Linked DNA regions of Rattus norvegicus. The protein of the gene in region 1 interacts with the protein of each later gene in a pairwise test. Links are inferred from orthologs where the notes say so. Each region holds a gene or a part of one and is shown in the gene's direction. Other genes may lie near its edges. The genes, in order: Exosc8, Exosc10, Morn4, Dusp23, Otud4, Slain1 and Txndc17.

What was found.
Region 2: the proteins of Exosc8 (region 1) and Exosc10 interact in binary tests that used the Homo sapiens proteins (3 or more experiments, as listed by UniProt). The link is inferred for Rattus norvegicus from reciprocal best matches to the Homo sapiens genes EXOSC8 and EXOSC10.
Region 3: the proteins of Exosc8 (region 1) and Morn4 interact in binary tests that used the Homo sapiens proteins (3 or more experiments, as listed by UniProt). The two-hybrid records come from large-scale screens. The link is inferred for Rattus norvegicus from reciprocal best matches to the Homo sapiens genes EXOSC8 and MORN4.
Region 4: the proteins of Exosc8 (region 1) and Dusp23 interact in binary tests that used the Homo sapiens proteins (3 or more experiments, as listed by UniProt). The two-hybrid records come from large-scale screens. The link is inferred for Rattus norvegicus from reciprocal best matches to the Homo sapiens genes EXOSC8 and DUSP23.
Region 5: the proteins of Exosc8 (region 1) and Otud4 interact in binary tests that used the Homo sapiens proteins (3 or more experiments, as listed by UniProt). The two-hybrid records come from large-scale screens. The link is inferred for Rattus norvegicus from reciprocal best matches to the Homo sapiens genes EXOSC8 and OTUD4.
Region 6: the proteins of Exosc8 (region 1) and Slain1 interact in binary tests that used the Homo sapiens proteins (3 or more experiments, as listed by UniProt). The link is inferred for Rattus norvegicus from reciprocal best matches to the Homo sapiens genes EXOSC8 and SLAIN1.
Region 7: the proteins of Exosc8 (region 1) and Txndc17 interact in binary tests that used the Homo sapiens proteins (3 or more experiments, as listed by UniProt). The two-hybrid records come from large-scale screens. The link is inferred for Rattus norvegicus from reciprocal best matches to the Homo sapiens genes EXOSC8 and TXNDC17.

What each region holds. Positions count from the first base shown.
Region 1 is NC_086020.1:141,084,298-141,088,466, reverse strand, and holds the start of Exosc8 (exosome complex component RRP43), read left to right. Parts: upstream 1-1,369; 5' UTR 1,370-1,393; coding exon 1,394-1,410; intron 1,411-2,076; coding exon 2,077-2,113; intron 2,114-2,221; coding exon 2,222-2,285; intron 2,286-2,617; coding exon 2,618-2,691; intron 2,692-3,635; coding exon 3,636-3,681; intron 3,682-4,169. Other genes in the region: Alg5 (dolichyl-phosphate beta-glucosyltransferase), read right to left, coding at 731-796. UniProt on the Homo sapiens protein: Non-catalytic component of the RNA exosome complex which has 3'->5' exoribonuclease activity and participates in a multitude of cellular RNA processing and degradation events.
Region 2 is NC_086023.1:164,277,163-164,281,239, forward strand, and holds the start of Exosc10 (exosome complex component 10), read left to right. Parts: upstream 1-1,277; 5' UTR 1,278-1,316; coding exon 1,317-1,427; intron 1,428-2,422; coding exon 2,423-2,559; intron 2,560-3,635; coding exon 3,636-3,759; intron 3,760-4,077. UniProt on the Homo sapiens protein: Catalytic component of the RNA exosome complex which has 3'->5' exoribonuclease activity and participates in a multitude of cellular RNA processing and degradation events.
Region 3 is NC_086019.1:250,845,144-250,849,419, reverse strand, and holds the start of Morn4 (MORN repeat-containing protein 4), read left to right. Parts: upstream 1-1,476; 5' UTR 1,477-1,613; intron 1,614-4,276. UniProt on the Homo sapiens protein: Plays a role in promoting axonal degeneration following neuronal injury by toxic insult or trauma.
Region 4 is NC_086031.1:87,629,745-87,633,573, reverse strand, and holds Dusp23 (dual specificity protein phosphatase 23), read left to right. Parts: upstream 1-1,173; 5' UTR 1,174-1,243; coding exon 1,244-1,510; intron 1,511-2,250; coding exon 2,251-2,436; 3' UTR 2,437-3,329; downstream 3,330-3,829. UniProt on the Homo sapiens protein: Protein phosphatase that mediates dephosphorylation of proteins phosphorylated on Tyr and Ser/Thr residues. In vitro, it can dephosphorylate p44-ERK1 (MAPK3) but not p54 SAPK-beta (MAPK10) in vitro. Able to enhance activation of JNK and p38 (MAPK14).
Region 5 is NC_086037.1:45,160,137-45,163,636, reverse strand, and holds part of Otud4 (OTU domain-containing protein 4), read left to right. Parts: intron 1-1,035; coding exon 1,036-1,090; intron 1,091-1,325; coding exon 1,326-1,443; intron 1,444-1,536; coding exon 1,537-1,601; intron 1,602-3,137; coding exon 3,138-3,232; intron 3,233-3,500.
Region 6 is NC_086033.1:86,952,976-86,956,475, forward strand, and holds part of Slain1 (SLAIN motif-containing protein 1), read left to right. Parts: intron 1-1,717; coding exon 1,718-2,003; intron 2,004-3,039; coding exon 3,040-3,115; 3' UTR 3,116-3,500. UniProt on the Homo sapiens protein: Microtubule plus-end tracking protein that might be involved in the regulation of cytoplasmic microtubule dynamics, microtubule organization and microtubule elongation.
Region 7 is NC_086028.1:57,329,958-57,334,111, forward strand, and holds the start of Txndc17 (thioredoxin domain-containing protein 17), read left to right. Parts: upstream 1-1,354; 5' UTR 1,355-1,429; coding exon 1,430-1,574; intron 1,575-2,055; coding exon 2,056-2,137; intron 2,138-2,536; coding exon 2,537-2,612; intron 2,613-3,280; coding exon 3,281-3,349; 3' UTR 3,350-4,154. Other genes in the region: uncharacterized protein LOC134480818, read right to left, coding at 1-658. UniProt on the Homo sapiens protein: Disulfide reductase. May participate in various redox reactions through the reversible oxidation of its active center dithiol to a disulfide and catalyze dithiol-disulfide exchange reactions. Modulates TNF-alpha signaling and NF-kappa-B activation.

The sequences.
Region 1 (4,169 bases):
ACCTGGACGTTGCCAACAAAGTTCTGATTTGTTCCAAGCCTTTAAAGAAGGTATTTTAGTAAAGGAGGGCGTTTGACTCACCCAGACACACAGCAACAGTCATCTGGCTACACCATTCCAAGACTGTGCGTGTACATAATATGGCAAAGTGGCAGAGGCCTTCCTGACCACCTGTCTAGCCATCTAGTCCCAATACAAGAAAGTTTTTCAAAATCAGCTTTCTGAGTTACAGGCTCCTTTTCAAACTATGTGGCAGAGTTCAGTTGGCAAGTAAGTCCTCTTCTACAAATCAACGGGGTGGGATCTGCTACGTTTCTATAGGAATGGCAAAGAAAACGCTAAGGTGCCTGATTCTGGAGAAACAAACAAACAAACAAACAACAGAAACAAAAACCAACAACTGGCCAAAATTAATAGAAAGGGATCTGGGCCTGTCTTTTGTTCACCCATAGTCTCTGTCTCTAGCCTTATAGATCTACTGCTCTCTTTCCAGTTGCAGTACGTACGGGAGGCCCAAGAATAAGGCTGGGGAGTGTGGTGGGATGTGACAGGCGGGGGTTCGGTGGCAGGAGCCCCGAGAAGCTGGGCAGAGGCTCTGGGCACCCAGATAAGGTTCCAAAGGGGGAAATAAAGGTTCAAGGATTTCAGGGAATCTGAGGCCAAGGGGGCCAAGCACGAGAGGGAAGCGCGGAGGGGACACCCGGAGCACGGGACTCCACCACGGTCTCACCAGAATGAGCGCGGCAGCCGCCAGCGCCACGCCGAGCCCCACCAGCTGCAGTAGCAGCGAAGCCATCCCGCAGCTCCACACTTGCGGAAGCGGCGTGCGGCGCAGCGCCCCGCCCCATCCCGACCCGCAGGAGAGGCCGGACTGGCCCGCGCCCGCCGCCCGCAGCGCCCCCGCGCGGCTCCGCTGAGGATTGCAGACCGGTCCCCGAGTGTGGGGAGGAAAGCACTAGATCTGTGCGAACTGACGAAGCTACGGGCCTCACCCACACGCCGCGCAGTGCTGCCATCTAAGGATGCCCGGCGCCGTGGAGTGTTTTAGAGTCACCCCTTTCCATTTCGCGCGTCTGCGTGTGTGTAAGGATGTTTGTGCACGAGCGCGCACGCCCGTGGGGACCCGGGCGTGGGACCCCGGGGGTTGGCGTTGCAGGCGGTTGTGAACAGTATCGACCCCGGCTCTTCCCCACAGGCCTGATTCTAACTAGGTACGAGCGGGACGCTCCGGGTGGCAGGAGCTGGTGTTGATGCCCCGTGCGCCGGAGAACAGCAGCCTCCGGCAGCACTTGTTTAACCCAGGATTCCAAACAGTGCTCTGGGCTGGAGCCACGCCTACCAAGGGGAGGGCGCAGGCGCAGAGGGCTGCGCAGGCGCAGTGCGAGCAGGAAAAATGGCGGCCGGGTTCAAGTGAGTGGTAGCGCGCGCAAAAGAGGCCCTGGTGCGGGTGTTGCGCGTGTTGGCGGACTGGGAATCCTGAGGGCTGCGGGAGGGCTCTGCCCATTGAGGCGCTGAGGGACAGCACATCCAGGACGACCCTGACCTCTTAACCGAGCGCAACGCCGCTCTCAACGCAGTGCCGCCTTCGGAAGGGACTGAAACCTTTGGGGGCGCTCTGATTAGACCCAAAGCTGCCCGCCCACTCGTGCAAACCTTAAACTCGTGTCTGCGAGTGCGTGCACTTATACCTGCTGTAACTTTTGGCCGCGTGTAGTTGATGTGGACAAACGGAGCTCCAGTAATTGTAAAAATACACTCTTCCGTGGTAAATTTGTAGACACTGGCAAATGCGGCTTACGGAGTGAAGTCACGCTAAGTTCCCCGCTTCAGAGCAAACGTGATGTGACTGACACCCAGGATAACCCTCTTCTAAGTGTGCCAAGGGCCTCCATTCCTTTTGGCACAGTTAAGGTCGCCGCTGAAAACTGGTTGCTACTATATGGCTTTTGTAAATATGGTTAACACAGTTTCAAAAGCCCGAACTTGTCGGGATTGGTGTCTCAACCACCACACTCTTAAATTCTGGGTTTACGCTTTAGGATGCACTGACTCAGACACATTTTAAACATGTTTCAGAACTGTGGAACCGCTGGAGTATTACAGGAGATTTCTGGTGAGTAGAGGTGATTTCGTACTTTAGAGCATGTGTTTTCTGCAGCCTAAGAAATATATTTATGTATTATATAATACATAAATAATCTGCTTCCTTATAAACATTTAGAAAGAAAACTGCCGTCCAGATGGAAGAGAACTTGGTGAATTCAGAACCACAACTGTCAACATAGGTGAGGATAAGCTTCATTTCAGTTGGGTGGGACAGCCCCCACCTTTATTTATCCTTGGTGCCAAATAGTTTCCCGCCAGCTCTGCTATGTCTAAGACATTTGGTGTTAAGAGATTTTTATCATCACACCAACCTTGTAGTTGATCCAAACGTTAGTTCAGATTTGGAGACAGAAGGGAAAAATTAAGAACGTTAAGTAGTAATACGGCCTGAACTTGTCGAGACAACTGAAAGATTTAAACTACTTTGTAGGAGGCTTTGTGCTTATTTTCTTCTTTTTTTTCTTTAATTCTTTTTTTTTTTCTTAAATAAATATGGTGTTTACCTTTCCAGGTTCGATCAGTACAGCGGATGGCTCTGCTCTAGTGAAGCTGGGGAACACCACAGTCATTTGTGGAGTTAAAGCAGTAGGTTTCCTGTATGGCTGTAAGCGTCGGAATTCCAAATTAGCCTCATGCTTAGGAGTGGCTCTTAATCGGGCTGATATTTAGAATGATATTCCATCAAGTTTGTTTTTTTAAACATGTGCGCATCATTAATTCTTTATAAGGCAAATAATCAAACCTGAATCCTCACTACTGCATACTGAAGATTTTGGCAATGTTGTTTTTGAAATTGAGATTGTTTTGTGATCCCATTTAGCCACTGATAGATTTTAATCGTCAGTCACACAGGAGTAGTGAGTGTCTGCTGACCTTTTTAGGTGTTCTACAGATTTACCAATCTCTGCCCCTACGTAGAAGGTAGGCAGAGTCTAATGACAAAAGCTGCGCTTTCTCATGTTACCCTGAGCAACTCTCCTCGTTTAGGTTTGTGGTTAAGCTGAAGTGATAAGGATCAGAGCTCATACTCTTTGCCAGGTTTCTATCTGAGACTTACTGGCACTGTCTCACTTGGGCGCCCCTGGGAGTAGGCAGGTACTGCTTATCTGTCCGTGTGTCAGCAGAGAAATATGAAAGATAAGTAACTCGCCCAGTCTCTCAGTCTGTTGTGTGGATCTGCAGGCACTGGGCTAGTTATTGCTATATTCCTCACTTCTGGCCACTACTAACTCCCTGGCCTGGTTGTGTATCACTTGGGGATTAAATTCAGATTTCAGCTGCTGAACAAGTCACAAAGAGTGGGCATAATCCCACCGATCCTGGTTGATGAGCAGCAGAGTTTGATTATACTGTCCTTTAACCCCCCTGGGAGCCATTGGGAAGGCAGTGCCAGCATCCTTAGGGCCCCTGCCAGATGCTCAACGTAATCTAACTGGCTGAAGTGGTCTTTGGTACAGCCTCTGTGAATGGCCAGAATATCATCGTGTTGAGTGGCTTCTCTCACTGGAATATATTATTTGCTTTTGTAGGAATTTGCAGCACCACCAGTAGATGCCCCTGATAGAGGATATGTCGGTGAGTTAAATAGTCTTAAAATTTTAACAAATAATCGAGTAAGTTGAAAGCTAACTTGTGATGAAATAGATAGCAGTTCCCAGTGCTCAGAAATAGAACGCCCCCACCCCTCACCCACAAAGCTTTGTGCTTATGAGAAGATAGCAGAGGGGACATCACATGAACTTCACTTCCAACCCTGTGTGGACAGTTTTTATTTACATACTCGGTTGCCCTAATTCAAGGAAGCATCATTGCAGATTAAAATCCTGCCTGCACTCTATTTAAAGTACTGGACAATATTTTTGGTCTTGGATTATCTTTTCCATAAAGTGGGAAGCAACATTTAAATCTTTAATAGTTGGATGTGAGCAGAGGACTTTCCTACTACAGACTGAGGTATCTGAGGGAAGAAACTCAAGAAACTATGAAGCCTGTGGTTGTTTTTAAGCACTGTGCAAAACATTAAGTGTAATATTTTCCTCTGAGCTTGGCAATCTGAGAAGACT
Region 2 (4,077 bases), on another chromosome or scaffold:
CCGAGGATGAGCAGGTGTGCCAGGATCTCAGTGCAGGGTCCACGCTGGCCCTGCTGCTGTGTTCAGTGAGGGATGGATATGTTGTGTTTGCAGCAGGGACTCAGAACACAAATGCTTTTGTGGAAGTGCTGATCTCAGAGGGACACTAGCGCAGGTTGTGAATTAAGAGCAAAGTAAATATCCAACTAAACACAAAGTATAAGTGAAGCCACATCTAGACACCATTGTATCTGAGTAATTTTTGTGCCAATAAATGACATCAGAATTTTAAAAGTATTTATGTGTATGGCTTTCTGTTCATTATTTTGCAAATTCTCTTATTGGGCTTTGGCTTAAACTCAGTGGTAAGCCACTGACTAATGGGGACAGGAACCTACACCATTACATTCCATCACTAGACAGGCCAAGACAGAAACAGGCAAACAAGGATCTCTTGAGATTCTGGACTACACAGAAAAACCCTGTCCTTTTTGTTGTTGTTGGTGGTGGTGGTGGGTTTTTTTTACACTCCAGATTTTATTTCCCTCCCAGTCCACCCTCCGACTGTTCCATATCCCAAACCTACTTCCACCCAATCCCCCGACCACGAGGCTGTCCCCACCCCACCCAACCTCTAAACTCCCTGGGGCCTCCAGTCTCTTGAAGGTTAGCTGTATCTTCTTTTGAACCCAGACCCAGCAGGTCTCTGCTGTATATGTGCTGGGATCCTCAAAAAACAGCAAGTGTTCTTTTTTTTTTTTTTTTATTCATTTATTATATATAAGTATACTGTAGCTGTCTTCAGATACACCAGAAGAGAGCATCGGATCTCTTTACAGATGGTTGTGAGCCACCATGTGGTTGCTAGGAATTGAACTCAGGACCTCTGGAAGAGTAGTCGGGTGCTCTTAACCACTGAGCCATCTCTCCAGCCCAGCAAGTGTTCTTAACTGCTTCAAAGCCTCTCTTCTCTCCCTTTCCCAATATTTTAAACAAACTGGGAAAAATCCAATCCTTGAGTAAACGGTTTTGCACGCCTTTAACCCCAGCACTTGGGAGGCTGGATGCAGGCGGGTCCGGGGTGAAGATCTAGCTTTAAATGTAATTTCAATTGTATCCTCCCTCCAGTCCTCACCCTAGCCCACAGGTTTGTTAGGATACAACGTAAAATTAAAGAAAAGCCTAAATCTCCCCATCGTTGGCCAAGTCGTGTAACAAGTTACACTACTTACTTGGTGTGGGGCGGGGTAGTGGTATTGAGCCGCGCGCATGCGCGTTACGCTCTTCTCCGGTCCGCCGGAACAATCTCGCGAGAAGAGCCGCCCTAGGACGGAAAAATGGCGCCTCCCAGTCCCCGGGAGCATCAGTCCGCGCCAGCGACCGGTGCGACCAAGCCTGACGCGGAGATGGTACTGCCTGGCTTCCCGGATGCAGACAGCTTCGTAAAGGTCAGTTCGCGGGCTCTGGGGCACCGCTGTTTTAGCCGGAAGCGGGTCTGGGGCTGCGGGCTTCTGGCGCCTGTCACGGCGGCCTGACGGCGCGCACGGAGAACGGCAGCGAAGGGCTCCGCGCTTCCGGTGTGAGCGCGAGCGGCTTCGCGTAGAAAGCTGTGTCCGCGCCTTCGGAAGGGCGTCCGTCATCCACGTGGCGCACCCTGCGCTACCTCTCCTGAGGAGCCCAACAGCTGAGCGACTCTCCCGCCCATTGCTCACCCCGCTGATGCACAAACGTCTATTGCCCCAATCTCTTGGGTTGAATGTCACAGCGACCATCGAGCCCCTCTCTAAATGCCAAAGCGCACTCACCAGTACCTCTTGAGAAGGAAGATAGAGTTTTTATTTAAATTCTTTGTTCACAAAATTCACGATGCTGTCATGAGACGTTAACACCTCCCTTACGCTGGGATCCCCAACCATGAGATTATTTTCATTGATGGCCTTGCTGTGGCAGTCTATGTAGACATTAACTTTAAAATAAATCGCGATCCTCTTGGTTAAAATATATTTTTTCTTTGCTAATTCGTAACTAATTTTGCTACCGTTATGAATTGTAATGTAAACAGGCAGGGTATCTGAAATGGGACCCAAGGGTTGAGAGCCACTGCCTTAAAATAAGCACCCACTCTTTATCAATGACAGCCACTTGTGATTGTTTCCCATTCATTACCTGCCTCACAACAGTCTACCTAAACCACTGGTTATAAAATGGTCACCTGAGTCGGGTGGTGGTACACAAATCCAGCCCTTGGGAGGCAGAGGCAGGTGGATCTCTGTATGTTTGAGCCCAGCCTAACCCAGGTCCTGTACAAGAAGTGCTAAGCACTCTTAACGCTGATCGGTCTCTCCAGCTCCCTGGGATATATAGCTTTAAAATCTTGTGGGTTTTTTATTCCTGAGTAAACAGGAATCCGTGTGTAAGATGCATCTTTTTCTCTGATTTTCAGTTTGCACTTGGGTCGGTAGTGGCCGTTACCAAGGCATCTGGGGGCCTGCCACAGGTCGGTGACGAGTATGACTTTTACCGAAGTTTTCCTGCCTTCCAGGCATTTTGTGAGACACAAGGAGACAGGTTGCTTCAGTGGTGAGTTTATTACGTTGATTGAAAGAAATAAAAGATTGTCCTGAGAGTGGCATACCTCAGTTGTCGGGAGATAATGAACGTGATTGGGTTCCTGAGTCTGAACTCCAGTACTAGCCATCACCAAAGAAACGCTGCCTAAATGCCATTAACCAGAGGGACATAGGATAATTGTGTGGTCTGTGGCTGTTGGGGAAGAATAGCGGCTCAGTGTGGAGCCCGGACTAGCCTGGAACTTGCTATGTAGACCAAGCTAGCCTTGAAATCTTAGAGATCAACCTTCCTCTGAACTCACTTCCCCTGAGTGCTAAAATGAAAATGTCAGCCATCACAGCCAGCATGATCTATGATCTTTAAAAATAGGGGGTTGGGGATTTAGCTCAGTGGCAGAGCGCTTGCCTAGCAAGCACAAGGCCCTGGGTTCGGTTCCCAGCTCCGAAAAAAAGAAAAGAAAAAAAAGAAAAATAAGAGGGCCGACAAGATGATTCCGTGGGTAAAAGGCATCTAATGCCAAGCCTGACAGCCTGAGTTCAACCCCTGAGACTCTCGGATGGAGAAAGAGCTCACTCCTGCAGACTATCCTCTGGCCTTAACACATGGGCGGGGGAACTCACACACACACAATATCTGTTTATGTCAAAAGTCTTTTGCTGCGTGTGGTGGCTCATACCTTTAATCCCAGCCTTAGGGAGACAGAGGCAGGTAGATCTCTGAGTTAAGGCTGGTGTGGTCTGTATAGTGAGTAGAGCAGCCAAGGCTACACATTTCTCATCTGATAATTGTTGGGGGAGATCACCGTGAAGTTATTTTGCTGAGAATAGGCCTAACTCACCAAATTACACAGGTGTCTTCAAACTCACTGTGGCCTGAGCCTTCTAGGAAGCCGGTGTCACAAGCCTACACCATCAGGCCTGGCTTGGGGTCCTGTGTTTAAAGGTTGTTGTGAAGATGTACATTGGGTTAATTTTATCCAGGGTGCCGGGAACCCTGTGATCCAAGCCATTTGAGGAGTTTTCTCAGACTGTAGGTTGGTAGAACAAAGGTGCACGTGCTGACCTTGGTTTTCCTCGATTCCTTAGCATGAGTCGGGTGATGCAGTACCATGGGTGTCGCAGCAACATCAAAGACCGAAGCAAAGTCACTGAGTTGGAGGACAAGTTCGATTTACTCGTCGACACCAACGACGTGATATTGGAGAGAGTGGTGAGTGCCTCCCATCCACAGAAGTAAGCTCTCAGATAGAAGGCTCAGATATCAGTGGAAGGAGAAACCCCAGCTCTATGGAAAGTGAAATAAATGTAGCCAGTCCTAATGGCCGTACCTGTGCCTCGCACTAGGGAAGCAAAAGCAGGCGGGTCTCTGAGTTCCAGGCCAGCCTGTTCTACACAGCAAGACCTCTCCAATAGATGGATGGGTTGGTGGATAGATAGATAGATAGATAGATAGATAGATAGATAGATAGATGGATGGAATTGTATGTATAGGCACGTGCCATGAATGCCGGTGTCCGTGGAGACCAGT
Region 3 (4,276 bases), on another chromosome or scaffold:
AAAATATGGGCAAGGAAAGATCCAAGATTCTGAGTTCTCCCTGGGATTCTGAGTTTTCCCCTCAAACTTTATTTCTGTGTTTACCCCTTGGAACTATATTTCCCCCTTAGGTAAGCGTGTGTCCTAATACACATGTGCTGGGAGAGCACTTACCCAGTGCTAAGTCTGCACTGGGCATTGTTTTAAGTATCTTACATGGATTAGCTCCATTAACTGCCATTAAAACTCCTATGATGTTGGATGCTGTGTCCCGACGAGACAAGGTAATTTGCTCTGACCTAACAAGCCATCTTGCTGAAACTACAGTTTCAAGCCATCAAAGAAACTACAGTTTGCAAACTCTTGTGCTAATTTATAAGTCTTCCCATAATTTGGTCCCGCACAATCTGTGATTTAATCTCATTTTTTCCTTATTATTTCCTAGCACGAGTTCTAAGAAGATCCCTTTCTTTCCAATCCATTTCTCAGTGACTGCACTTTAATCTACAATCAATTCCACAGTTTAGCTTACATTACCAAGTGAGTAATTAGTACCACATTGAATGTATTGTCCGATCTCATTTTACAGGCTAGAGAGCTTACTAAGTTACTCAAAACACACACAATTCGTAAGTAGCAAAAGATAGGATTTGAGCACAGAAATCAAATCTTTAAAAAACAAAGCAAAACTACCGTCCCTTTGGCGTTGTGTTCTCACACAAGTCCTGTAAAGCCCTCTATCACTTTCATCATTATTACTTTCTAACCTGCGGCTGAAGGAATCCTAATCCAAAAAGCAATTTGAACCAGTTTGCTTTGTCTTTCAACGCCTCACTCGTGTCATGAGTCCCATGAGAGACGCATCAACGACCAGGGCTTTTCCAAGCCCTGAAGAACTTGCTTCTCCCGCATGCACTTCACTAAACAAACATATGGCTACACGGACATCCGGGAACAGTATTTGGGAAGATTTGCTCCAATAGTGGCACTAGGTTTTAAATACAAAAGATGTGGAACACAGAGAGTCCCTATGAATGGAAATGTGCAGCGCATCATTAATTATAAAGCTGAGCTTCTAAATCTGGGTTTAGGTTTTCTCTTCATACTTAGCGGTGGAGTTGTTTATGAATCTAAAAATCACAACCTTTTGAAATGTAGCCACTTTGAACACACGTTCGACCTTATCTAGGATTAAAGTCTCTGCCTGGAGGTGTCTGAAGACGTGAAACCTGAGTCCTTCTTTTCGGTTGGGGTTAATGAGATTGGACAGCAGGCTCAGCCCCACCCCTTTTTCAGATCTTTGGCCCAGACTCCCAAAACACTGGGCCCCTCACAAAGATGGCACGAAAGAGGGCTGGACCAATGGGGAGTGGCGTTGCTCGCGGTTGCCTAGGTAACAGCCAATGAACAGCGGGAATTGTGCCCAGTGCGGCCGTAAGGGATGGCGGCGTCCAGTGGGGCTGAGGCGGGTGGCGGGGCAGAGGGGAAAGTGGCAGTGGGGAGCCCGGAGCAGCAAAGATCCTAGCTGCTGGAGCCCCGCGTCAAGTCGGGGCGTAACAGTCGTCTTCGAGAAGCCGAGCTCAGGTTGGCCTGCGGCGCGGGTGGGAAGAGGACTTGGGAGTGCGGTCCACCAGGTAAGGACTGAGGCGGCAAGCAGGTGACTGGGCTGGGGAAGGAGCCTCTGTCCTGGCTGTACTGACAAGAAGGTGGCTACCAGTGGGATCCCAAAATTGGGTTTGGAGTTTCGATCCAGAGGTCGTAGCCCTGGAGAACACAGGACACTGGTTATCAAGAGGGGTGTGCCGGGCTGTGTCTGCAGGGAATGCCAGATCTGTGGGAGCTTGAAGAGCCTGTGGAGTGGGAGCCGACACCCCCCCCCCCAAAAAAAAGGACAGAACCGGGCTGAAATGAAAAATGCAGTGGAAGACTGGGTTGCGTGTCGAAGTCTGGGGTTTTGTTTAATCTAGGGCGCGTCTGTGCCACAGGTAGGGAGATGTCCCACTTACTGAGGCTTGGGGAATGGGTTGTCATTTCTGTAATTCAGCATCCACGAACTACTTAGGACCCAACCAGAGTAACTTCACTATATTAGAGCCCGGCCCAGACACTGTCCCTTCCCTTAGCATAGATAGAATAGTGTTGTGACAATATTACTCCGGAGAGCCTATCACTCTTTTTTTTTTTTTTTTTTTCTTTTTTTCGGAGCTGGGGACCGAACCCAGGGCCTTGCGCTCGCTAGGCAAGTGCTCTACCGCTGAGCTAAATCCCCAACCCCGAGCCTATCACTCTTGTGTCATTGTCTTTTTAAAAACCTTCTTCTTGGTACCAGTGTTCTCTTTTCATCTTCTTCAATCTAACCATCCCACATTCTCCCTAAAAATAAAACCTGCTTATCATAACAGTGCCAATGCTTACTTTCCAGATAGGAAGGAGATTATAATTTTAAAGTTAAAACCCTAATTATTTCATATTCATTTAAAAACACGTTTTATTAAACAGTATTTCCAGTTTCCTAATCTTTGCTCATCAGAGCTTTCATTTTCCCCTCTTAGGACTCTAAAAACTTATGGTTGCTTCCTTTGTAACTAAAAGAATTTTTTGTTAGCTTGCCTACCCAAGGAAGTGGCTTTGGGAACAGTTCGGAGATGGTGTGGATAGTTAGGGTGTCTGCTTCCAAACAAAAGGTCTCTAACTGGGATATGATTATTCTCAGGTTGGGGAGGGAAGAATTGTTGTTATTTTGTTTTAAAACTTCTTAATTTAAGCTGGACATACATGGTGGAGCCTCAGGAGACAGAGGCAGGTGGATCTTCTTGAGTTCAAGGCCAGCCTGGTCTACATAGTGAGTTCCAGGACAACCAAGGACTACATAATCCTCCTTCAAATAACAAACAAAAACGTCTTGATTTAGACAAAAGTTGCTGCAAATGCATAAATGTTCTTTAGTTAGCTTGGTTTTATGAGAGAGAGAGAGACAGGGAGAAGGAGAAAAGGTGGGGGAGGCATGGCAATAGTGTTTACTGCTCCTGCAGAGGGCCAGGATTCAGTTCTTAGCACCCACCTGTAACTCCAGTTCCAGGGAATCTAAAGGCCTCTCAGGCCTCCACAGGCTCTTGTACACACATAGCATACAAACATTCATGCAAGTTCACACAGAGACACATAAACTCAAAGCACTTCTAAAAAATGAAAACAATTTCTTATCACTGTCTTCGAGTTCTGTTTGGAGCCATCCACTGAAGAAAAAAAGTAAGAGAGCAAAAGATATAGTCTCTTTCCAACAGTCCCAGAACAGTGGATTACAGGGACAAAAAAAAAATGGTAATTTTAGGTTACGTTTCCATCTGATCATTTGCAGCTTGTCTGTCACAAGCACAGAAAGGGCCTCTGTGGGAATGTGGATCGTGTTGGTTTGTGACTGGATTCCAGGTATAGATCTGAAGCCTAGGGCATCAATTTTCTCCAACAGGATTATTTAAGCAAGTATTATAGACGTCGATCTGTGTTCCTTATTAAAGTATTGGGTTTCCCATTTGCATTAGTACTGGATACACTTTATTAATCTATATTTGCCTCAGTAACTATGGATAATCTTGGTTACTGGTGAAATTCCCAGGATGTGACAGTATCACCTGTTTGGACACATGTTGCAGTTCCTAGACAAATGTATTCAGCCATAGCCCGAGACCCCTGAGTTCTACATATGTTCCTTTTAATTAGCACTTCTGATTTGAGTCTTGAAACTGTTCATGGTTTTAAGAAACCACTGCTGAATTTACTGTATCTTTCTAGATTGAAAAGGAATGGAAATTTGTAATATATACTCTTGAAAACCAGCACGGAATGGTGTCGGGGTAGGTTGGCAGGTGGTACTCTGCTTATTACCACTAAACAATGAATTAACCCAGCCCTTAGCAGCTTAAAACCACCCCACGATACTCCCAGATCCTAAGTCAGGACTCTAGACCTGACATCATGGAGATGGCTTCTGTTTATTCCATAGATTCTCCGGTGAGTGGGTCAGTGTCTGACTGGGAACTGGAACCATTTGACTGACAGCTCCTTCACTAACGACTGCTCCTGTCAGAGCTAAGATGACTGACAAGTGAGGATGCAGGGCGGTGGTGGCATACGGTGCTAGTGCACGCCTTTGATCCTAGCACTCGGGAGGCAGAGGCAGGCAGATATCTGTGAGTTTGAGGCCAGCTTGATCTATAGAGCGAGTTCCAGGACAGCCAAGACTACACGGAGAAACCCTGTCTCAAACCTTCTCCCCAATGCCCCCCAAAATTGGAAT
Region 4 (3,829 bases), on another chromosome or scaffold:
CCTAATGACCAGCGGCAACAAAAGGAGGGTAGGACTTCTTCACACCACGTGTTGTAGGCTTAGGTGAGTATGTTCCTGACCATAGGAACCAACTTCTTTAAACTCCTGGTTAAAAAAGTGCCCAGGGTTTTAAACTCCACAATGTGTGGAAGAGTGTGAAGATGGCTGTGTGAAAAGAATATCATTTCCTGGTTGACTGCAGGGAAGTGTGCTATTAAAAGGGGGGAGGGATGTGGAGCAAACAGATCAGCAGTTAAAAGCACTGGCTGCTCTTCCAGAGGTCCTGAGTTCAATTCTCAGCAACTCCATGGTGGCTCCCAACCATCTGTAATGGGATATGATACAGCTGTCTGAAGACAGCTACGCAGTACTCATATACATGAGATAAATAAATCTTTTAAAAAGGGAGAGATAGATTCTGGAGAACGGTATCTTGCTTAGCTTCCTCAGTGACTAAAATGGGGTTACTGTGATCATCTATCTTATGTCAATTAACATTTATAAAAAGTGCTCCCACGAGCACCTAACACAAAGCAAATGCTCAAATATTGTTAACTCTTATGTTGTTGATTGTAATTACTACTTTACCGTGAGTACCATTTCCGGTGCCACATGTTCTCCTCCCTTTAACAGTCCCAGCAATAAGAAAATGAAATTTCCTATTGTCTAGGACATAGTAGTTCCCTCTTATTACAAGAACTCAAGAAGACACCAACTGTGACTGCTTGGTCAGAGAAGAGATTACCCACTCACACCCGCGCCCAGGCAGAAGTAGATCTGTCTACTACTATTTAAACCCTAGTGCAAAAACTGTGAAGAGGAGACCAGGCCCTTACGCTCCTGGCCCACCATGCAGTAACTCCAACGCACCACCAGGGCGCAGCAGAGCCCAGCCCTGGGCTGTTTTCTCTACAGGAGCAATTAATTTGTTCCAGGTTTCCTTAGTGTATTTGCTCCCGGCTGCAATAATCACGCTTGTTGTCGATTACCCAGCCTATCAACGAGTGCCCTGCTCCGCATCCGTTGGGCTGTAGGGCTTCTCTGCAAGCCCTAAGAGCCCTCTTAGCCCCGCCCCCGCTGTTCAGCCAACCCTGGGTGAGGAGGAACGTCACGGGGGCGGGTCCGAGAGACTACGTGAACCGCTAGGACAAGTGCTGAGCAGGGGCGGAACCCAGCCCCAGCGGGTGACCCGATCGCAGGGCGTAGGAAAGGCCAGCCTCGCTCCGGGTACCCTCCCCCCACGATGGGCGTGCAGCCCCCCAACTTCTCCTGGGTGCTCCCGGGACGGCTGGCCGGGCTGGCGTTACCGCGGCTACCCGCGCACTACCAGTTCCTGCTGGACCTGGGCGTGCGACACTTGGTGTCCCTGACGGAGCGCGGGCCCCCTCACAGTGACAGCTGTCCCGGCCTCACGCTGCACCGACTGCGCATCCCCGACTTTTGCCCGCCGGCCCCCGAACAGATCGACCAATTTGTGAAGATCGTGGACGAGGCCAATGCCCGGGGAGAGGTCAGAGCGTTCGTGAGCTCAAGCGAGAGGGCGGGGCCTGGAAGGAATGAGTGGGCGGGGTCGGGAGCTGGAGTCCGAAAGGAGTGGGGGAGGGTGGGGTGGGAGCTAGAGGGACCCATCCCCCTGACTAGAGTCAACTATGCTGCTAGGAGAGGAGGTGGTGCCAAGTAACTAAATTAAGTACTGTCAAGCGAAATACTTCCAGGAGTCGGGAGAGCGCTGAAGTCAGATGGAAGCGGTTCAAAACCCATTTACTAGAGGTCCATATGTCATACAGAAACGCTTGTAATTTTAAATTTTACTAGCAGCTACGTTTAAAAAAAAATGTGAAAAAGAAGCAGGTGACGTTAATTTTGTACTAATCCAGTAAGTCAAAAATACTATTTCAACATAGAATCAATATGAAACAAATTATTAATGAGGCCTTTCCAGTCTTGCTCATGCCGCATCTTCAGAGCCTGGTAAGTATTTTCCACCTCATCTCAGCATCAGGAAAAGTGGCACCACAAGTGACTGGATGTACTGTACAGGACAGCACAGGTTAGAGGCCAGGAGGTACAGGCTGAGAGCCCAACTTGGAATCAGCCATTTCAGAGGCCTCCTGGTCACCAGAAGCAAGGACAGCCCGCCACAGCTTTAATGTCACTTCTTGTCCCGCGAGGGCCTGTGATGTGTGGGGCGGGGACAGGAGAGTGTCTGGAAGGGCATTGGACTCCACTCTATCGGTCTCCACTTCACAGGCTGTTGGAGTGCACTGTGCTCTAGGCTTTGGCCGCACTGGAACCATGCTGGCCTGCTACCTGGTGAAGGAGCAGGGTTTGGCCGCAGGAGAAGCCATTGCTGAGATTCGGCGCCTGCGACCAGGATCCATCGAGACGTATGAACAAGAGAAGGCCGTCTTCCAGTTCTACCAGCGAACAAAATGAGGGGTTCGGTAGCCCCCTTCCCCCTCCCCGACTCCTGCTGCTTATAGCAAGTGTGGCGGGCTGGAAGGGAAAAGGACTAAAAAAGTACTACCTCCTTCAGCGCCCTCTGGCTCCTATTGGACAAAAGAGGCCCAACCCCAAAGCCATAAAATCCTGGCTGGCAGGATGGCCCATGAAAATGAAGTGGTAACTAATAAGAGCTCATTACCACTGCATAGCGTTTACACAGCACTCCAGCGCATAAGCTTCCTGTAGCCTGTGCTGTGGACAAGACGAAGGACACTTCTGTTCTTTGGATGAGGTGGCTAGACTTCAGAAAGGCCTACGGTCAACAGTTCTAGGAAACAAAAGGATGGAGACCTTTTGTCTCCTCAAAGAGGATGGGATTCTAGGTGCTGTTCCCTGACCGGATGTGATAGAGGAGAACTGGTCAGCGAAAGAGATCCCTCAGGGCAGCCTCGGGGCTCTGCACACCCACACTGGCAGTACCCTGTTGATATCACCCTTTACGTAGGGTCCTCTGTCCTACCTGAGTCACCTCTGTTCCTCTCAGGGTACAGAAGACCTGCATATCCTGCTCACAGATGAAGTCTCTATATTGTCTGTCTGTCTCTCCCTCCTCCCTCCCCCCTCTTCCCATCCCCCTCCCCCTCTCTCCTTCTTCCCTCTTTCTCTCCTTTTCCTCCCCTCCTCCCTCCTTCTCCCCCTTCCCCTCTCCTTCCCCCCTTCTCTCCAGGCTGGTCACCTCTTACCAGCCTCAGATGTGTTCAGCTCACCTGTTACCTCAGATCCCTATGTCATCCCCAGCCTCAGACCAAGGAATGCTGGGACTGCATCTTGGCAGTTACAGGGTGGATATTAAGTAATCAAATAAATAACTCTGGGACTATGAATCTTGGTCTTGTTTCCTAGATGTTATCCTCACTTCTCCCCTGCTGGACTCCGTCCTGCCATGAACACCACACTTTGGACTTTCTGAGAGATGAGATAAATGCCGTACTTGAGCCTAGTGGATTATTTTTTCCATGCTGGCAGTCTGAACTCGTGCCCTATCCTCTGCCATAGCAGGCTGAACCGAATACGGGAGAATTCACCCTGAGGTATATGCTGTGTGCCTGTGTGAACCAGGTGCTGTTAGACATGGAGCCAACTCAGCAGCGTAAGCCAAGACTCCTGTTCTCAGAGGCCCTGCCTCCTGGAGAAGAAGGGGAATGACAGTCCCTTCACATGTGACACACACTAAAGGCTCTCTCTACTATTCCAGACACAGGACAGTCAAGTTCCCTACAACCTCCATCTCATATCAAAGCCCAGAGCCAGGCCTATACCAGCCCCTCCCCCTGCACTTCATTCAGTCTTCCCTGCTGCCCCTAACTCAATATTGTCCAACTCA
Region 5 (3,500 bases), on another chromosome or scaffold:
TGTCACATCACAGTTTTAACAGAGGACAAACACTGTATATGACTTTGTCAAGGGTAGATCAGGTTAGTGTAGTGATTAGGAGGGAAGATGTGTACTATGTTCTTGGATTATCTTCACATTCATATTGGTGGGTTTTGAAGTATACTTGGAATGATGAGTGTTTTTTTTTTTTTTCTCAGTCTAGACTCCAAGTTCTTGCTCTCTTTAGTGTATATTTGGAGGTTAGTTTGAAACATAGAGGTGGATTTCTTAAAGAGGAATTGTAGGATAAATCCTCTAGGAGCTAAGTAGAACTTCATTCATCTTGAGTCTCATCAGCCTTTTGGCCACCATATGGTCTTCTTGTTCTAACTTTGCTTGGAATACTGGATCTGAGGTACTGTCTTGTTACCTTTCTCTTATTCAGAGGCACCTCAGCGAGGCCTTCCCACCGCTTTATGCTGCTGTGCCTGCTCCCTCTTCTTTTCATAGGACTTTGTTCTTACTGAGTTGGTTACCCAGCTAGTTTGCCTTTACCTCACTAGATTCTACGGCAGTTTTGTCTCACTGCTTAGACCCGAGCAGCCTACTAATACGCAGTGTGCAGCACATAGCAGGCACCGTATTTGTAGCATCGATGATTGAAAAGTGGGTGGTGATGGCTTTTGACTGATTGTACTGAAGATTAGGAAGTGTTTTTTACAAAAAGGTTGGTTATGACTTGACATTTTTACAATTGGGGTATTTGGCTTTTTTATTGTAAATGTTATAATTTGATTGTACCAGTTTTTTTTAAAAGCTTTGTAATACTTATTAAATTTTAGGTTGAGTCTTTTGTAAATTGTTACTTCATCCATTCAAATACTGCAACCTGCCACCACCATTTCTGTTTTTTGTTTACTAAGTCAGTAAGAATTACTAGTATTAAGTCTGATATGTATATGTAACATTGTAAAACTTGAGTTTATTGCAGCCTCATGTTTTTGGCATGTAATTGTAGTTAAGTTTAAAACATGCAAATTTTCATTTTCTAATTATGGTTCTGTTCCTTTATAGGAGTAAAAGCACTGCTGCTACTGATGTGAATGGATTTAAGTCCTCAGGCAGTGAGGTATTTTTAATTTAATACTTTTAACTTTTATATGTAAAGAAACTATGATTTTTTTTTTTTTTTTTTTTTTTTTGGGATCGTCATTTCTAATAGTAAGGGTTGCTTTGCTGGTATGAAGTTGATTTGCCACTTCCTGCTTTATTTTTAAGTTTTTTTTTGTTTTGCTTTTATGCATATTTGAAACTGTTTTAAAAGCATTTTTGTGTTAATTGGACTTCTGACATTGTTTATTTAGAACCCTAAGAACCATGGGAACTCAGCTGACCTTCCTTTGTCCAGAAAGGTTCTTAAGTCCCTCAGCCCAGCAGTCTATAGAAATGTGGAGTATGAAATTTGGTTGAAGTCTAAGCAAGGTGAGTTAAACTAAGTCTTCTGTAAAATTGCCTTGTAGCACTTTAATAATGAAATTCACAATATGTTTTAATGAACTGTTTTTAAACTAACAGCTCAACAAAAACGTGATTATTCCATTGCTGCTGGCTTACAATATGAAGGAGGAGAGAGATGCCATGTAAGTGATATCTACCAAATGAGAGTGTGACTTGAATTGACTCTTACTTTCTGATACTCTCCAAAGGAATAGCTAACTAAAGTTTGACTGTAGTTATAACTTGGATTTCAGAATTCATTTATCCTAAATACATTATAAATATATTTTACTCTAAATACATACAAGTAAAATGTAGAATAATCTTAATGTTGAAATTCATACATTTGTAAAGCCACAGTTTTGATGTTACTTGTTTTTGAGACAGTGTCTCACTTTTTAGTCCTGGCTGGCTGGAATTATATAGACCAGACTGGCCGGGAAGTTAGACAGATCCGCCTGCCTCTGCCTCCTGAATTCTGGGCCTTTGTCCCTTTTATTTGAATATAGTTTACTTGAAATCTTAAGCAACTGGAATGATACACAGATGACTTGTTTACTCAAGTATGTAGGATATACTTTATAGTTTTTGGTAGGAATAGCTGTATAAAAAAAGGCCAGTGAGGCTGGATATGGTGGTGTATACCTTTAATCTCAGCACTTGGGGAGATAGGCAAGTGGGTTTTTGTGAGTTCATGGCCAGTCTGGTCTACATAGTTCCAGGACTATACAGTGAGACACTGTCTCAAAAACAGCAAAACAGAAAATGGCTGGCAAGATACTCAGCAGAATCCTTTTGCTCTTTCAGGGAATCTTGAGTTGGTTCCTAGCACTCATGTCAGGAAGCTTACAACTGTGTTCCAGCTCCCAGGGATTTGGTGCCCTCTTCTGGCATCTGCTACTCCACAGGTGGCAGAAGAAACATTTAAGACATTACCCTTTAAAAATCTTTTTTGAAAGTGGTTAATGAGGAATGAAATTTCTGCTCAGGACTCTGCTAACGCTTGGAAAAAGGGAGTCTGTGTAGAGCAGAGCTGTGTTTACTGTGCTATCTTACCTGTTGGCAGCCATTGGCCAGTGCACAGGGTTATTGTGTGCGGTTTGCCTAGAAGAAACTTCAAGACATCCATGTCCACACTATTCAGTTAGCTATTATTATTAATGGGGTTGGTAAGAAACAGCAGAAGCATCCCTTTTTAAGGAGCAAAAGTTACATTACACCTTTTTAGTATAAAAACAAAGATGATAGTAATAATAGTTCACTCATCTGTAAAGTGGCTGCTCTGTGGACTGCTGTCCCCTGTATGATGTATATCTCCATTGCATCTCCAGTAACTTCCTCTTACATTATTTTCTGTGTTAGCTCCAATTTGTGTGTGAGCAAACAAGGTAAGTGAATTGTCCAAGGTTGTTGCTAGCAGTAGACAAGCCAGGCTTGGAGGCCAGGAGGGGTTGACAGCCGCTGGTGTATGTGTTCCTTACAGTTCGGTGGGTTCTGCTCCTGCTTCTTGACATATTTATAACAGTAAATTTGACAAAAGAAACAGTCTTTTAGGTAGAGAGGTATGGTGCCTTAGGGATACAGATTCTATTGAAGCTCTTGTACTCATTTTTTGTTTTTTTTTCTGATAAATGTTTACATTAACCAGGTGTCTGATGTCTCTCTCTGGTGTTCAGCAGGTTAGATTGGATCATAATGGGAAGTTATCTAATGCAGACATTCATGGGGTTCACTCTGAGAATGGACCGGTTTTGTCTGAAGAACTGGGGAAAAAGTATGTATTCTTTTAGTTAAGGTGTTTGTTACCTCTTAGATTTAACCTCTTACAAATGTGAATACTTCTAAATGCCTATGTATTAAGAAATTCAATAAAAGACATCCTGTATATAAAAGTTTAATTGGTTAGACGTTAGAAAAATCATGAGGGGTTGTGGAATTGCCTTGCAAAGGAACTGATAGATCCATCCATCTATTTTGCTTTTGTTTTTGTTTTTTTTTGAGAACAGGTTTCTTTGTGTAGCTCTGACTGTCCTGGTATTCTA
Region 6 (3,500 bases), on another chromosome or scaffold:
CAGTTATGACATTCATGCTGGAATACTGCAGTTACACCACAGCACGGAGGGCTCTCATACACAAAATATTGGGCAAAATGAAGCTCCACACAAAAAAAGGACATGGCTTGTGATTCCAGTGTAGGGATGGCCAGTGTGTGGTGACAGAGAGGAAACTTGTTCTCTTGGGAGATGTTCTCCCTGGTGGCTGGAGCATGGTGGTCTTGAGATGGGGAATACACAGACGTGTTCACTAAAGAAAGTCACCAGTTAAACCAGAAGCTAAGCCAGATTCACAGACTGCACTGTCTTTTAATTAACAGATTTCTTTTAATTTAAAAACAGTGAGCTAAAAAACTTTGGCACCAAGGCAAAAGCATGCCATAGTTGCTGTTAAGTTAGTGTTTTTGTCTTCAGGGAAAGGGGTACCAACTAAACGCTCCTGCCTGTTTACTACTGCAGACTACAAAATAATGTTCAGCATTGGTAAAATTTTAAGGATTCTTACTCAGATCACTCCCTTCGTTTTATAGATTTTGTCGCTGTTACAAGGGTCAGAGTGGTGCTTTTTAATTGAGTGGTTGCTGACGGTTTAAGCGCTAAGGCTTTAAGTAGATTAATTAGCTTCTCAAATAAACCCCGAGACAATATCACAGTGCATGCTACCTAAGGAATATGTTTGTGCCTACAGAGACTGTTCCTGACTTCCTGTCTGTAATTATAACCGTCAGATCATCCCCATGGTTTGTTTTCATTAGGCCATTGTTAGAAAAACCATCAAGAGATTCCGTGGGGGCTGGAGAGATGACTCAGTATTTGAGAGTACTTGCTGCTCTGGTAGAGGACTCCAGTTGAGTTCCCAGCATCCACATCAGGTGGCTTGCAACCATCTGATGCACACACACACACACACACACACACACACACACACACACACACACACACTGCATGCACATACACATGTACACATATGTAAGTAAAATAAGTAAATGAAAATAGATCTTAAAAGAAATTCTAATATCTTTTAAGGTAAAACAAATTTGTCTTGGACATAATTTGCCTCAGAACAATTCAGAGATTCTTAAATTTTAGAGTCGTCTTCTGAATATTCAGTGGCCTTTGAGCAACACAGATATGATCTGAGCAGGTCTGCTTATATCTCTACTGGTTTCTCTTGAGATTTGAAAAGTTTTATTTTGAAAAAACTTGTAGGTAAATCTTGCAACTTAGAAATCTCAAGGAAGTTGAGAAAAGAATATGTAATTAATACATAAAATAAAGATACTTGGTATGCTATTTTTATTATTTAATACCATACGTATATACAAATCTGTTATAATTTACGCTTGCACTTAGAGACCATCCATGTCCCCACTCATATGCCAGAGAAATATAAACACAAAGATACCGCATAAACCCTGATTATTTTAAGTATAATATGACAACGTTAATTGATAAGGCTTTGAGTCAAGGAGGGTACTGACTGAAGTTTGGGGAAGTCGTGAATTATAATCTGATTTTTGACCTTCATGCTGTTCATAGATCAACTGTATTCAGGCATAGGACTGCAGACAGACAGAATAGGAGAGCCCTGTTGGGGATTCTCTCCCACTGAAGGGTGCTTAGCACCCGTACATCACTTACCTCTTGCTTTCAGAAACATAGGCGCCTCTGAATGTAACACTTCTAATTGAAGGCAGTGCAAGTCCCTCACACTGACTTTATTTTTCCCCGGCAGTCCCGTCACCAGGACAGATTCAGCACAGAGTCCACAGCGTGGGGCATTTCCCAGTGCCCATCCGGCAGCCCCTGAAGGCCACAGCCTACGTCAGTCCGACTGTTCAGGGCAGCAGCAGCAGCATGCCTTTGTCCAATGGCACACAGTTATATTCCAACACCGGCATCCCTACCCCAAACAAAGCTGCGGCTTCCGGGATTATGGGCCGCAGCGCCCTTCCGCGACCTTCCTTGGCAATAAATGGGAGTAACCTGCCTCGAAGCAAGATTGCACAGCCTGTCAGGAGGTGAGAACTTCATCCCTGTGACTGTATCGCTGCTTGGAAATTTCTCCAGCTCACCCTCACTCTTCTCTGGCTCAGGTTAACCACAGGTCATTGTCCTTACGACACTCTCCGGGCCCCTCTTTCTCGGTCAGATGGTGGATGTCTCTGCGCAGTCAGATTCCGCTCTCTCTCCCTTCACTCTGATTCCTTGGCCCATCTGTGGAGCTCGCGCTCCACCCTGCCCCAGGTTACTTGTGTAGCAAATTTCCTCCCTCCTTCAGGTCTGCACACCTCCGCTCAAGGTTTGAAAACATCTTAGTTTTACTCAGCAGGAACCAGTTTGTATTGTAAGTTCCAGATGGCCCAAGCAAGCTTTTTTCTTGGCCTAAAAATGCCAAGTTCTGTATAGGGTACATTTTAGACAAAGGTAGTGGCGGTAATCCTGGCTTATTTTCCTTGCTAAATGCAGAGATGTGACATCTCATGGCTGAACAGAATTACATGACATATATGTGTCCATTATTGGGGCCCTCTATTTCTTGAAGGAGGAGGGTTGGATTTGTATCCCTAGAGAATATGAGAGGATCTTTTTTCTTCAAACTTGAGAAAAGTTTTTCGGGTTTTTTTCGAAATTAATTTTTGAAATACTGAAAATATTTCAAGATTACTTTTCAGTTCTTTGTTAGTATGGTAGAAACATTTATTTAAATAAATGCCAAGAATTTATGCATGTGTTCAATAAAGTCGGTTTATGTTTTTAGCTATTTTCCCCATTGAGGATCTTACCTTTTACTTTCTATCTTAAATTTGTTTTTGGCCGGGCGAAAATTACCTTGTGCGCATGCGTATGTGGCTCTGTGCTCTGGCCTCCGCTCCGGCAGATGGGCAGACACTATGAGAACCCCGAAGGATGTAACTTGATACACACTTGTGACAGTGACAACAGCTTGTCATTAGGGGATGAACCAGCCCTGATGGGAGAGGGAGGGGACCAGAGTGAGTGATGTCAGGGGCGGGATTACTAACAGCCCGTTTGCCTTCTTCGTCTCCTTAACAGTTTCCTGCAGCCCCCCAAGCCTCTATCTTCACTCAGCACACTGAGGGATGGAAATTGGAGAGACGGTTGCTACTGATGCAGTTTTATGGACCCTTGTAGAATGGGAAGAATCGAAAATGAGGGTGTGTTACCTAGCTGGCTGGGTAACCGTGGATGCTGGGATGCTCTCCCCTTCACCCTAACACGTGCGCACGGCATCGTTTTCAGTGGACCAATCACCAGAGACTAACGATCGCACTTACTCTCTGCCTGAAATACTGTGGCAACCCCAAACCCATGGCCACGGTATTGTTACCTTAGATCTAGGAAGTTTTTGTAGAACTGCTCTGTACCTGAATACTTTTTGAGAGAGATTGAGGCGTATCAATAATGCTTTGCCATATGGGGTTTTTAAAGTACCTTTGTTCATTTTACCTACGTGTTCTAAACACCTTTCCATTACGTGTTCTGCATTTTAATAC
Region 7 (4,154 bases), on another chromosome or scaffold:
CTATTCCCCTAGCTGTGGGCAGTCCTGAGGTCCGGGGGAATGTCCTAGTATGTCCTCTCACCCATGGTCCTGTAACACCATCTCGGCTGGTCTCTACCCAGGAAGCTCGCCCAGGAATACCCTTCTCGACTGGCCCCTCTCCCGCAGGAACAGGATGAAGTTCCACTCTGCTTCCTTCCCAGCATCCTGAAGCTACCCTCATAGCCTGCACCTTCAACCACAGTTCCAGGATGCTCTCATGGCCAAGTGTTCCTGGACGACCTTTTCTCTCACAGCTCGGTGAGCTCCTATTGTCTAGCTCCTCCTTCCCAGATACAGTCACCCACACAGACCCAGCAGGCCCAACCACCTCGGGCTCGCCCACAGTCCCATTCACCCACACTGTCCTAGGGTCCACTGCTGCCTCAATCGAGCCTGCAGTCCCAGATGTCCCAACGGCCTTTTTCACCCCCGGGGATACTGCAGGCTCCACAGTCCTCTGTAAAGGCCGCCGACCATTCTGCACCCTCCCTATGTTTGCACAGAGCATCCGCCGCACTGAAGACCTCACCCGGCGCCTTACTCCATAGCCTCGGGACATCCCTGCACCCCACCTCCTCGCCCACGGAGGCGGAACACCCCGCCGCAACCTGCCGGCCCTCACGCAACGAGCCGGCATCTTCGCTGCCAGAGTACACCCACGTAGCCCGGTCAAGAGCCCCGTACAGGACTCGCAGCTCCTGGACAATTCCTTTCCCCAATGCAACCTGTCTTTGCACCTGTTCCCCTAGACAGCGTGCCCCTCACATGCACTCACAACACTCGGATTCTGTCCTCTCTGCCTTTCTGCCTCCCAGCTCTCTCCAAACCCCCGCCCAATCCCGGACGCCGCCCCCAGCCTCGGCCCCCCTAAAGTCTGACAAATGGAAAGGTAACAGAAGGGGCGGAGCTGCAAGGCAAGCCCAGGCGAGGTCTCTCTCACTGTCTCTCTGCCAAATGCAGCTTCCCAGAATTCCCCCAGCTCTGACCCGAGCCCACCTGGTTTGGGCGAGGCGCGGCCACCGAGACCGTAAGGCCACCTCAAGCTAGGCCTCGCTTCCGGCCTCTCGCCCAGTCGCCATGGCAACAGGCGCGCGGCTGTTTGGGAGCAGTTGAGCTTCCTGAGCCATTTGAGGATCAAGGTGTTGTACCGCGACCGGTTTTGCGGTCATTGTCCATAAAGCCAGGGTAGGGACTAGACCAGGTCAGGCGTCTAGATGTCTGAAGGAAACTGGCGCCAAAAAGAAACTCCAGCAGACCAAAAAGACGGCCCTAGAGAGTTATGGCCATCTGAGGCTCCCGTAGCACAGCACCGCCCACCCGGAAACTTGACCACGCCTTACTTGGGCCCCGCCTTGAGGCGGCAGGACCCTAAGGCACCTCCTGCATTCCTCTCTGGACTGTTGTACTCATGGCCACCTTCGAGGAGGTGAGCGTGCTGGGCTTCGAAGAGTTCGACAAGGCAGTGAAGGAGCATCAGGGCAAGACCATTTTCGCCTTCTTCAGTGGTTCTAAGGATACTGAAGGGAAGAGCTGGTGTCCGGACTGCGTGGAAGGTGAGACTGGGACTAGAGGTTGCTTCACCACAGAAGTGGTGGGAAGAGGTCCCCTTACTGAAGTCAGAAAGTGGGATGAGATGAGGATTTTGGTTCTGCAGATCCACGGAAGCGTCTGAGCTGTACCCTGTCTCTAGTTAGGTCCTTACTAGCTCCACCCAAGGATGACCCTCATTTTTATCATGGACTCAGATCTTGGAACCTGGTTCTTTAAATTCTCAGTTCCCCAAACGATTAGTGTCTCATAAGAAAGACCAGACTCACGAGCTAATCTTCCCGTTAGCAATATGTATGCTGATTGTCTGCGTGTGTCTTAAAGACAATCAGGACTAGGACTTAAGTGATTCATGAGCCCAAAGGACACCGACTTTAACAACCTATCTTACAACGGGTTAAAGTCTAAGACTGGAGAGAGGGGAGGGCTTGGGCTATCGCAGTTATCGCAGTTGTTGTATAATTACTTTTTAACTTTTTTAAAAAGCTGAGCCAATCATTCGAGAGGGGCTGAAGCATGTCACTGAAGACTGTGTGTTCATCTACTGCCAAGTAGGAGACAAACCTTAGTAAGTGACCAATCATCTATACCGTAGCTCCAGACAAGAACTAGATTATTAAAAAGTTGGCTAGAAAGGACCTCAGATAATTGGTCAGGCTCTGTGTTTTAGGTATTGTCTAATAAGCCAAACAATTGGAATTATTGAATTCATATTTACCGTTTATGTTCAGCCACATATCATCATCAATGAATTTGGTCTAGAATAAGTTCAGAACTCAATTGACTTTACATATATGTTTTATCTTAGCCACACTTTAAATTTTGCAGAAAGTGACACATAAGTTACAGTTCTCAAAATGCTAAAATGTTAACAAAAGTAATGGTTGCTAATATATATAGGCCAACTGTTGAGTAAACTGTAATAAACCAAGTAGTATTTTTCATTATCTTTTTCCTTTTGGAACAGCTGGAAAGACCCAAATAATGACTTCAGACAAAAACTGAAAATCACTGCAGTGCCTACACTACTTAAATATGGAACAGTAAGTATCTACTTTTTTTTTTTTTAAAGATTTATTTATTTATTATATATAAGTACACACTGTAGCTGTCTTCAGATACACCAGAAGAGGGCATCGGATCTCTTTACAGATGGTTGTGAGCCACCATGTGGTTGCTGGGAATTGAACTCATAACCTCTGGAAGAGCAGTCGGGTGCTCTTAACCGCTGAGCCATCTCTCCAGCCCAAGTATCTACTTTTATGCTGTAGCTATAATGCAGTTAAAACTCAAGTTGCTTTAAAGTCAAGTTTGAGTTCCAACAATTTGTTGTTACATTGTTGTTTAGAGTGCATCAAAAACACACAAGTTGGTGTCCATCCTCTGCTAATCCGGTGAACTATTAATAATGCAGATATTAGAATCTGAGGTGTTTTAAAGTGTGGAGGGAAAGAGATGGCACTGGGCATGCTATCTCTTGTTTCCAGCCTATGGGGCTTCCTGGTGTGGAAATTTAAGGCCTTTCGGGCCAAGTGTTTTAATGATTCATCTTGAGACAAGTATCCTAACTATTTAATAAAACTTGTTATAACTAGCTGATAGTTTCTGATGGCATAATTTCTGTGTTCAAAATTTGTCATTCAAAGTAGAATTCATTCCACCCCTAGTAATATTCATAGCAGCAGTGAAAACTTAACCATTCTTTTTACAGCCTCAAAAACTTGTGGAGTCTGAGTGCCGCCAATCCAACCTCGTAGAGATGATCTTCTCTGAAGATTAAGATTTGATGACCTTGCCAGACTGTGGTGGCGCATGCCTTTAGTCCCAGCAGAGGCAGAGGTAGAGACAGAGCAGCTGGATCTCTTTGAGTTTGAGGCCAGCCTGGTCTACAAATTGAGTTCCTGGACAGCAGGGGCAGCACAGCAAAACCCTGTCTGGAAAAAAACCAAAAAGCCTAATGATTGCAATTTTATATTGTCTGTCTGGTTCCTTTAAAAGAAGCCACATAATTTCTTTGATGAGTAAATGAGTAAATCAGTGTATGTCTAAACAATAAAGAATTAAAATATAAACCTCTAACTAGTTTTTAACACATGGCTATCTAAAAGATTTGAGTAAAATGGGTCTTCAGTATGGTAGTAGTAGCTCAAAGGAAATATTGAAGATAAAATTAACTTATTAACTTCCAAATCTGTAGCAATTGGTATTTATTACCTTAAATTCTGTGTATTTGCAAAACCCTTTCCTGTCTTTGAAATGGAGACCTTCATTAAACCATTTAGGAGGAGAGTCATAGAATTCATATGCTTAATTCAGGCAATTTTGTTTCCCAAATGTCTAAAATGTGATTCTCTTGGTGTGAAACAGGCTAGTCACAGGCAAAGCACTATCTAAATGTCAATTTCTTCTAACAAAAATTGTGTCAGGCATAGACACACACCTGTAATCTTATTACTTTAGATAATAAGGCAAGAGGATCACAAGTTTGAGGCAAGGGGTACACTACTGAACCAGGCCTTGTCACAAATGAAAAGCCCAACTATTGCTCTACAAGAATGTGGACTGAAGAGGTGGTTCAGTGCTTA